2 linked regions of the Callithrix jacchus genome follow. The protein of the gene in region 1 purifies or fractionates together with the protein of each later gene. This does not show direct contact. Links are inferred from orthologs where the notes say so. Each region holds a gene or a part of one and is shown on either strand. Other genes may lie near its edges.

Region 1 (5,354 bases):
CTTGCCTCCCGAGACCCGCCCTAGTTGCTCCTACAGCCCTCACTGTGAACCATGAGGCCGGCAGTCCAGCGAATCTGTGGGCAGAGAGTGGAGAATCTTGGTGGATGAGGCTGCGGCGGCAGCAGGAGCATCTAGAGATGGGAGCAAGCTGGACTGGAACCCCTCCCCTTCCTGGCCACCGCTCATCGGGCGGCAGCAACGTGAGATTAAACACCAGACACCCTTGCATCCAAACCAGAGCCTATTCGTGTGTGTGTGTCGGGGAGGATGGAAGGGGTTGGGGTGCTTGAGACCAAGAGGGGACCAACCGGTCAGGGTGATGAGCTGTGGTGGGCATCCATCCCAGGGTGCTTGCTCCCTGAGACCTGAGCTGGAGAAGGGGGAAAGAGGGTTTTGTTATTGTCGTTGTTGTTTTTGGGATGGAGTTTCACTCTGTCACTCACAGGCTGGAGTACAGTGGCACGATCTTGGCTCACTGCAACCTCCACCTCCCGGGTTCAAACCATTCTGCCTCAGCCTCCAGAGTAGCTGGGATTACAGGCACCTGCCACCACGCTCAGCTAATTTTTGTATTTTTAGTAGGCAGGGTTTCACTATGTTGGCCAGGCTGGTCTTGAACTCCTTTTTGAGATGCAGTTTCGCTCTTGTTACCCAGACTGGAGTGCAATGGCACGATCTTGGCTCACCGCAACCTCCGCCTCCTGGGTTCAGGCAATTCTCCTGCCTCAGCCTCCTGAGTGGCTGGGATTACAGGCACGCACCACCATGCCCAGCTAATTTTTTGTATTTTTAGTAGAGACAGGGTTTCACCATGTTGACCAGGATGGTCTCGAACTCTTGACCTCGTGATCCACCTGCCTCGGCCTCCCAAAGTGCTGGGATTACAGGCGTGAGCCACTGTGCCCGGCTGGTTTTATTTTTTTCATAGATTTAGTACCGTCTGGCAAATACCAGCTCAGCTGCGTGCTCCTCTGGGATCTCACTAGCAGGGCCTGCAGACATTGGGTACTCCACAGATGTGTTAAAATGAATTAATTTATTGACTCATCCATTCCATAAATGTGAACTCCTTGTTGGGCAGGGATCTGTGTCCCCAAGCCTGGGGACTGTCAGGGGCCAAGGCCTCCCTGCAGGAGCCCCTATGGTAACATGGCTGCAGGCTCACTGTCCTATGAGCCCATAGGACAGAGAGGCAAGGCTGGGCCGCTGGTTTGCTTCAGGCTGTAGCGGGTGGGTGGGTGGGTGGAGGCAGAGGGAGTGGCCCCCTGCCCCAGCTTGTCTCAGCTCTTGGAGTAACGCCTCTGCAGCGATTCCCGGTAGAAGCGGAAGACGTGTTGCGAAGCCGCCTGGGCCGCGGCCAGGCACTGCTGGAGCTTCGGGGGAGAGACTGGTTGGTGCTGGGGGCTGAGACCTGTGCGCGCGCACGCGCGCGCGCGCGCGCGCACACACACACACACACACACACACACACCATGACGGGGCTGATGCAAGAGGTTTTGCTGACCCCCACCTGCCTCCCTTCGCCCCCCAAACCCACCACCTCCCCCTTCACCTCCCATCACTCCCCCGCCCCCAAGTGAGACAGGTGGTGAGGCATTATCTCCCACTTCACGAGCCGTTTCTTAGAGATCAGGAGAAATAAAGAGAGGGTGAGGGCTTCAGGGGTAAGATTCTGACAGCAACAGGACTCAGACCAATCAGGCATCCTCTCCTACCTTGGAAGAGGCCCCAGCTTTGCAGAGCTAGGGAACTGGAGAAAGTGCAGAATTGGAGTGGTCTTGGGAGTTTACAGTCATGGGCCCCTTGACCCCGAATAACCTAAGAGCCATGGAATCAAGAGACTCCCAGTCTTTCCTGCCATGTATTCCTAGATTCATAAGGTCCAGGTTGGACGTGCTTTTGCAGTTTCCAAGCTTCTGTCCCTTAGCCTGAGACCTGGAATTTTGGTGGCTTACCACTCTGAGCTAGGAGCTGGGGGACCATCATGTGCCCTCATCTTCTGACTTTATTTTTTTATTCTTATTTTTTTGAGGATTGAGTCTCACTCTGTTGCTCAGGCTGGAGTGCAGTGGCACGATCTTGGCTCACTGCAACCTCTGCCTCCTGGGTTCAAGTGATTCTCCTGCCTTAGCCTCCCGTAGCTGGGATTATAGCTGCGTGCCACCATACCCAGCTAATTTTTTGTATTTTTAGTAGAGACAGGGTTTCACTGTTAGCCAGGATGGTTTGGATCACCTGACCTCGTGATCCACCCACCTTGGCCTCCCAAAGTGCTGGGATTACAGGCGTGATCCACTGCGCCCAGCCTTATTTATGTATGTATTTATTTATTAATTAATTATTTTTGAGATGGAGTCTTGCTCTGTTGCCAGGCTGGATGGAGTGCAGTGGTGCAATCTCAGCTCATTGCAACCTCCACCTTCTGGGTTCAAGTGATTCTCCTGCCTCAGCCTCCTGAGTAACTGGGACTACAGGCATGTGCCATCACACCCGGCTAAAGTTTCTTTTTTTTTAATTTTAGTAGAGACAGGGTTTCACCACGTTGGCCAGGATGGTCTCAATCTCCTGACCTCGTGAGCCACCCGCCTCAGCCTCCTAAAGTGCTTGGATCACAGGTGTGTACCAGTGGGCTCATGCCTGGCCATCTTCTGACTTTAAACTGAGCTCAGCCTCTTTTTGCCTGTCCCATAAATTGGGCTTCCCTTAAACATTTCCACAAAGGTTTCTGGGACCACAAAGTTTGAAAACTCTGTTTTTTACAAGCAGAAATGCAAGCGGCTCTCCTGAACCCTCTCAGAATCCGGGGTAGAGTTGGGACAAGACTGCATGTCGGTGGGAGGGAAGGCTCTGGCTTTTGCCCTCATCCCCATGCTGGTACCTCAGCGTCCGAGAAGAGCCCCTTGGTGCTGGACATGAGCAGCTTCCGTTCCACGTTGTCCAGGGCGAAGGTCAGGACTGCCCGGGCCTCCTAGGGACGAGGGGAAGAAGGTAGTGGGAGACCTAGGACCCTCCCTTCAGATAAAATCTCAGCCAGTCCCTTGGCCAGGCACAGTGGCTCATGACCATAATCTTGGCACTTTGGGAGGCCGAGGCAGGCAGATCACAAGGTCAAGAGAGACAGTCACCCTTCTATGGGGTTAGAAGGGTAGAGCATCCCATCTCTACTAAAAATACAAAAATGATCTGGGCGTGGTGGTGTGTGCCTGTAGTTCCAGCTACTCAGGAGGCTGAGGCAGGAGAATCGCCTGCACCAGGGAGGTGGAGGTTGCAGTGAGCCAAGATCACGCCACTGCACTCCAGCCTGGGTAACAGAGCGAGACTCCATCTCAACTGCCAAAAAATGCAACAGCTCCCCCCATCTCAAGCCCTCCACATGGTTTCTGCCTTCTGGATTGGAGGAAACCATGAGAGCACTGGGCAGACAACACAGAATAACCTGAGCTCAGACACTGAGCCTGAGCTGATGTTTGCTTTTGAGCCTCTTAAGATGGAAACTGGGAGCTTACGGGGTCAGTCCCAGCCTCAGGAAAGATGCTAGCCACGGAGAATGAAGCTGAGAAAGGCAGGGACGAGAAGTGAAGCGAGGACATCCTGATGGTCCTGGTTTTATTTCATTATTTTTTTGAGATGGAGTTTCACACTTGCCTACGCTGGAGTAAAGTGGCACAATCTCAGCTCATTGCAACCTCTGCCCTCTGGGTTCAAGCAATTCTCCTGCCTCAGCCTCCTGAGTAGCTGGGATTACAGACACATGCCATCACGCCTGGCTAATTTTTATATTTTTAGTAGAGAGAGAGTTTCACCATGTTGGCCAGGCTGACCTCAAGCCTTACTGCCTCAGCCTCCCCACCAGCTGGGACTACAACAGGTGTGCACCATCATGCCTGGCTAATTTTTTTTTTTTTTTTTGAGACGGAGTTTCGCTCGTTACCCAGGCTGGAGTGCAATGGCGAGATCTCGGCTCACCGCAACCTCCGCCCCCTGGGTTCAGGCAATTCTCCTGCCTCAGGCTCCCAGGTAGCTGGGATTACAGGCACGCGCCACCAGGCCCAGCTAATTTTTTGTATTTTTAGTAGAGACGGGGTTTCACCGTGTTGACCAGGATGGTCGTGATCCACCTGCCTCGGCCTCCCAAAGTGCTGGGATTACGGGCGTGAGCCACAGCGCCCGGCCTGCCTGGCTAATTTTTATATTTTTAGTAGAGTCGGGGTTTCACCATGTTGTCCAGGCTGACCTCAAGCAATCTTACTGCCTCAGCCTCCCCACTAGCTGGGACTACAGGCGTACACCATCATGCCTGGCTAATTTTTATATTTTTAGTAGAGTCGGGGTTTCACCATGTTGTCCAGGCTGGTCTTGAACTCCTGGCCTCAGGTGATCTGTACATCTCAGTCTCCCAAAGTGCTGAGATTACAGGTGTGAGCCACTGTTCTTGGCCATACTTTTTTTTTTTTTGAGACCGAGTTTCACTCTTGTCACCCAGGCTGGAGTGCAATGGTGTAATCTCAGCTCACCACAACCTCTGCCTCCCAGGTTCAAGTGATTCTCCTGCCTCAGCCTCCCAAGTAGGTGGGATTATAGGTATGCACCACCACGCCCAGCTAATTTTGTATTTTTAGTAGAGACAGGGTTTCTCCATGTTGGTCAGGCTGGTCTCAAACTCCTGACCTCAGGTGATCCACCTGCCTCGGCCTCCCAAATTGTTGGGATTGGCTGGTCCGAGTGCAGTGGTGTTTACAACTAATTGATTACAACCAGTTACAGATTTCCTTGTTCCTTCTGCATTCCCACTGCTTCGCTTGACTAGCGTTTTAAAAAAAAAAGTGTTGGGATTATAGGCGTGAGCCACCACACCCAGCCATACATTTCCTTTCCAACGAAGGAAGTTTGAGCTGGGTTTCTGTCACTTGCTGCTAAACGAACCACGATGATTGGAGCAGCCCTTGCTAAGTGGGACTGACGTGGCATGAGCCAACTGTCTGCAGAGAAGTGAGGCCTGGAGGGAGGGAGGGGGAGCTGTCTGGCCTCTGCCTTTCAGCCACCCTGGTCATCACTTACCTTTTCTCGCTTGGATGTAGGATCCAGCACGAGGGTCCCATCAGAGTCCAGGGCACAGGTGACCCCACAGAAGAGAGCCCGCATGGGTACACCTGCATCCACCAATGCCATGCAGGCAGCATTCAGACAACAGGCCAGGAGCTGAGCACCATGAGCAATGGTTAAGTTTCTTTTTTGTTGTTGGTTTCTTTTTTTTTTTTTTGAGATAGAATGTCACTCATCGCCCAGGCTGGAGTACAGTGGTGTGATCTTGGCTCACTGCAACCTCTGCCCCCCAGTTTCAAGCGATTCTCCTG
Region 2 (5,354 bases), on another chromosome or scaffold:
TTAATACTATTAAAGGAAGTAAATAAACCACTGGGTAAAAATACCCAAGCTTCATTATTTCTGCATAAATAAGCTCTTTAAAAAGATACAGGACTTGAATATATCGAAAGACATAAGGCAGATTTTGAAATATTCATGCCAACTTATCAATAAAGGAAATATGAAGCTATACCTCAAGTCCTTTACCATTCCTTTTACAATAAAGAAATTCATAGCTTTTATACATAGTTTCTTTGTAAGAAATTTAACAAGATTTTACAAAGTACAGGTAAAAAGATCATGAAAAATACAATATTGCTGTTTTCTTGTTCAAACTTGATAAAGGTTAAAACTTTCCATTTTAAAATATTTTAAAAGTTAAAATCCTAGAATTGTAACCTCAGCATTAGGAAATTTTATAAAGTACAGTCAGTACACTATTGTGAAGAAAATATTAGTTACCTGGGCTGCTCCTGTAATCATATTTGGAATGAAGTCCTTATGGCCTGGAGCATCCATTAATGTAATAACTTTGGTTGTGGTTTCAAACTTGGTCATACCAACATCCATGGTTACTCCCCTTAAACAAAACATAAAATGGTTAGAACGTACTATGTAATAGTGCTATAGAGTAAATTAATAATAGTCTACATGATTATCTAAATTCTTAGGTAAAAATGGAAATTTTATTTATAGACCATTATTTTTGAAAAATTAAATTATCAATCAGGGCTGGAATGTCTGGTATCATAGAAGTGCATTCATATGGCTTTAACAACATGAAGTTGTGTTCGCAGTAAGAGCTCAATAAAAATGATAGTTATGCCCTCTTACCTTATTTTTTTTTGTAAGAAATAGTGTAAACTGTGAACAAAGAAACATATATGGGGACAACTCTAAATGGGGGAAAAATACTGCACATGAGAAAAGATAAATGAAAAATTACCATTACCAAGAGGTAATTTTCTTCATGTTCTATGCTTATGCTTCACTAGTTATAGAAATGAGCTTCTAAAACTTTCATTTGCAAGGCTGGTCAGTATGTTACATATTTAGAAAACACAAGATATCAAAGCAGATGCTTAATTTTCAAGAAACGGAGAGACATGAACAGCAGACTGCTTTTTATCCTATTTAATTCTTCTTGTAGACCAACACAGTGCCTTTTTCAGCCACAAAAAAATATAGATTCAGATTAGTGAAATGCTTGGGATTAGAAGTTTTTCAAATTTCACATTTGTTTGGATTTGGAATATTTGCATATACATAATGAGATATCTAAGGGATGGGACCCAAGTCTAAACACAAAATTCATTTATGTTCCATATACACATTATACACATAGCCTGAAGGGACTCTTATGCAACATTTTTAGTCGTTTTGTGTGACCTGTCATATGAGATCAGATGTAGAATGTGCCACTTGCGATGTCATGCCAACACTCAAAATGTTTCAGATTTTTGAGCATTTTGAATTTCAGATTTTCAGATTAGGGATCCTCAGCCTGTATAAGAGGCCTAAGGAGGTCTACAGGGACACTCAGTCATTCTAGGCCTCAGACATTTAGATGGGGAAATCATGCAGGCAATAAACGAGGTCTGCCCCCGAATCATCCAAAGTAATGAATAATAGTACTCCCTTTTACTACCAAAAGAGTACAACAATTAGAATAACAAACTATAGGTTTGCCCTAGCAATAAAGTAACTGTGGGTCTCCTTAGTCAAGACATTTGAGTTTAACCTGAAAGCCTGGGCCATCCAAGTTTGACAAAGTGATGCTTAATTCTCTTTAATAATTCCCAATAATCCAAGCACCACGGGCACCTTCAGAATAATGGCGAACTAAGACTTACTCCGAGATCCTCTGTAGACTGACCTGAGTATACTCTGCTGACCCAGCTCTGATTTCAATTTGTAACCCTAAGGATATGAAATGTCATTGCAACCCAAAGGATATGAAATTTACTCATTTCTGTTCTTCAGTATCTGAGAAGAACAAGGGATTTACAAATATTTAACATGGTGGGATAAGCAACATATTACATTTTGTAAATGCTATTAAGGAACATATGGTGGTGAGCTAAAACTCCCATTATATACCTGAAAGCATCTGCTGTCTATGGAATGAAGAAATATTCTAAAACTTATGCTGAGCAATAAAGAACCAGCAGCAGCAAAAATATGAAAACCAATCAATAGATAACATTATCAAAAAAGCTAAAATGACTGACCATTGTAGGATTCAAATCAATTATTAGTTCACTTGCCAGCTCAACTAAGATACTAGGTAACTTAGTTAACTTCAAGTGAACCATTCTAACTTAAATATACTGTTCTCAATGTCTTTACCTACTTATTAGATAACGCAGAGAAAACTAAAAAACTACATACTTTAATAATGTGCTTGTTAAACTGACAGGTGAAAATTATTTAGGCTTCTAATATTGTATCATATACAATTCCATTGTTTTCCATAATTGGCAACTGTCCAGCTAATTTTTCTTACTAGGATAGAAAACAGGCCTGTGATACTATATAGAATTAAAGACACCCGCAAAGAAAGAGAAAACATTATGATACAAATTCTGGTTTACCAGAAGAGGTAAGGAATACTGTGACCTGCTCTACAGAGCATTATCTCATATATTATAATGGATACTATGCAAGACTGCAAGAAAATACATATTAAAAAGGCATGAATATCCAGATACATTCTCCAATAATCAGACTGAAGACATCAGGGAACACAGTTTAATCTCCTTGCTAATTTAAGACTTTCACAGGACTTGGTTTGTAAATAGTTATTATTTTGACACAGTTGATATATCTGCCATGACATTATCAAGGTGTCCTTTGGCTCTCCCACCCTAGCATGATATATACTGTCACTCTAAATATACTTCAAAAGAAATACTATTCTTTGGCCAGAGTATATTAGTAGCTGCATATTCCTATTAGAATCTCCCCAAAATTAGCACTTAACACAGTAACAGAGAAAGATAAGTAACTGACTGCATTATAGCTACAGAATTACTTGTTTGCTGTCTCACAAAAACAGAATATATAAAGTATAAAAATGAATTATTTAGTAATTTGAATTTGCTGGTTACTTAGATTCTAGACAAAAGAGGTTTTACTACAGTTACATTTCCTTTGTAAGCTGACATGAAATTAAAAGTCTTACTTTTAATTCAAAATCAAGACAATTTGACATGTACTTAAGGAAGTAACAACTGAAACTTATCCCATAGAATAATTAGCTTATGATTTTTACTGTTTTTTTTTCTGCATGGCTTTTGTTTTACTTTGTTTCTGACAAACATTCTTTTAATCTATTTCCATAAAGTTTCGAGGAGTAAAAACAGTATGTAGATTTTCCCTGATATTTAAAAGCTATTTTCTAAAAATAGTCTCTAACGTATTTCATATGTTTTACAAATTTGAGACATATTATACACTTATTTTAGAAGACTATATGACTTCAAACTGAAAATTACAAAATATAGTGACTACCTTTCCCTTTCTTCGCCAGTCTCATCCAAGACCCATGCATATGCAAACGAAGCTTTGCCAGCCTTTTTAGACTCCTGTTCATACTTATGCATAGTTCTTTTGTTTACATTACCCAGAAGATAAAGCATATGGCCCATCAGAGTACTTTTCCCAGCATCAACATGACCTAAAGAAAATTGATTCAGGATTAATACCAGGTACATTTCCAGACGTTCACACTGAGGCATTGCATACATGTATAACTCACTATTTCATGTCAGTGGTTTACAGTAATAATGCCAGTATTTATCAAATGACAGTTAAAACATCTAAATAGAAAAAAAAAGAGCAAGTCTCTTTACAGAGGGGGTAAGTTTCTCAGATTTTTGGAAATTAAAATTGTCAACAAGACATGCCAATTTCAAAATGTTCACAAAACAAAAAATCCCACAACCAAGTGTAATGACTTCTTCGGTAACTTGGCATTCTCTCTCCTCAGGTGACTAGAAAGCATTATGAGGCCGTGCCTCCTCGCTTTCTGTCCATTCCACCTATCGAGAACTCGGAATTTCCATGCGGCCACAAGACAGTGGGCAGGGTAAGGCATGGAGGCTGACGATCCAGAGGGACAAAGGGCATTACCAATGACCACTAAGTTGAGGAGCTGCTTCCCTCCTTGCCGCTTCTCCAGTTCCACCTTCACATCTATTTGCTGTCTCAGCTTGCCAGACTTTCTCATTGATGCTGGGGCTAAACTCTGCTCTTCTGAGGCTTGAATCATGTGGGGTGGATTAGCAGATTTAGAAGCAGTCTCAAGAACATCAGAAGCAGCAATGCTGACATCTTCACTGGGCGGTCCCTTTTGAGGTGTGTGGAAACTATGACCATTTTCTTCAGAAGTTACTCTACAGAAGGCAGACAGGAAAAAAGCATTTTAAACCAACTCGACTGATGTTCTATAATGTCAGAAGGGCAGAAAAACTGTTTCTTCATAATTCTTTATACTCCAGACCAAAAATAATCTCTGCTAAGTAGCTAGAGTCTGTTAAGGTGGAAATGATAAGTAGCTAGACTCAAACCACACAAATACAGATGTGGAAGATCCCAAGAGAAAAACAGTGTACCAAAAAATGAAGGTATGAAGAAAATATCTTTAAAAATAACTGAAATTCAAAATCTAAGCCTTGGCGATATAATCCATCCTATCAAAATCAATGGTATAAAGGGGATATTTTGTAAAAATGGCACCAAATATATTACTGGAGTAGAATTAGTACTAAAATATAGTTTTACCCCAACTCATCCTTCCAACATGATAAACTTATGATCCTTTTTATTATCCCCCTCAGGGGAGATATCTCTAAATGACTACAGTTCATAAACATTTTTGACAGTGGAGCTTTAATTAATTAATTCAACAAACACCCGATTTACTAAAAACTACAACATATACTAGGGACTGATGTTGAAAAGAAAATGACATAGAAATGAAAAAGCTAACTACCACTCCCAAAAGATTACAATCTAGTGAGGAACTCAGATATGTAAAGGAGAAACAAGACTATCCAGCTTAACTTATTCTTTCCTTGAAAGAATATAAAATCCTTAGAACAATAACTTGTGTATTCTATGTATTTCCTCTCTCTCCCTCGATGGAAAAATCCCATAACAGAATTAAATGGCATTCAAGATTAAGGAAAAAAAGGTCAATTATTCTGATAACCCAATCCTAATTCAGAAGGAAAAAAGACATACATGAAGATTTTTGAGACTGAATCAGAATTCTAAATTATTTTAACAGGTGATAAAAATTAAATTAAATTTTTCATTCATCCAATCATTCAATTAATGTATACTGAATGTGTACTATGTCTTAGAGAAGG

Evidence for each region. Proteins that work in one complex are often made in the same cells at the same time.
Region 2: the proteins of EXOSC5 (region 1) and HBS1L purify together in Homo sapiens (affinity purification with mass spectrometry; 3 studies listed by BioGRID and IntAct, with this or other methods). This does not show direct contact. The link is inferred for Callithrix jacchus from reciprocal best matches to the Homo sapiens genes EXOSC5 and HBS1L.

Annotation. Positions count from the first base shown.
Region 1 is NC_133523.1:36,660,088-36,665,441, forward strand, and holds the end of EXOSC5 (exosome complex component RRP46), read right to left. Parts: intron 5,200-5,354; coding exon 5,059-5,199; intron 2,969-5,058; coding exon 2,879-2,968; intron 1,819-2,878; coding exon 1,716-1,818; intron 1,412-1,715; coding exon of another isoform or gene 1,374-1,411; coding exon 1,162-1,373; 3' UTR 1,018-1,161; downstream 1-1,017. Other genes in the region: TMEM91 (transmembrane protein 91), read left to right, coding at 1-24. UniProt on the Homo sapiens protein: Non-catalytic component of the RNA exosome complex which has 3'->5' exoribonuclease activity and participates in a multitude of cellular RNA processing and degradation events.
Region 2 is NC_133505.1:141,713,014-141,718,367, forward strand, and holds part of HBS1L (HBS1-like protein), read right to left. Parts: intron 4,377-5,354; coding exon 4,114-4,376; intron 3,659-4,113; coding exon 3,493-3,658; intron 560-3,492; coding exon 442-559; intron 1-441. UniProt on the Homo sapiens protein: GTPase component of the Pelota-HBS1L complex, a complex that recognizes stalled ribosomes and triggers the No-Go Decay (NGD) pathway.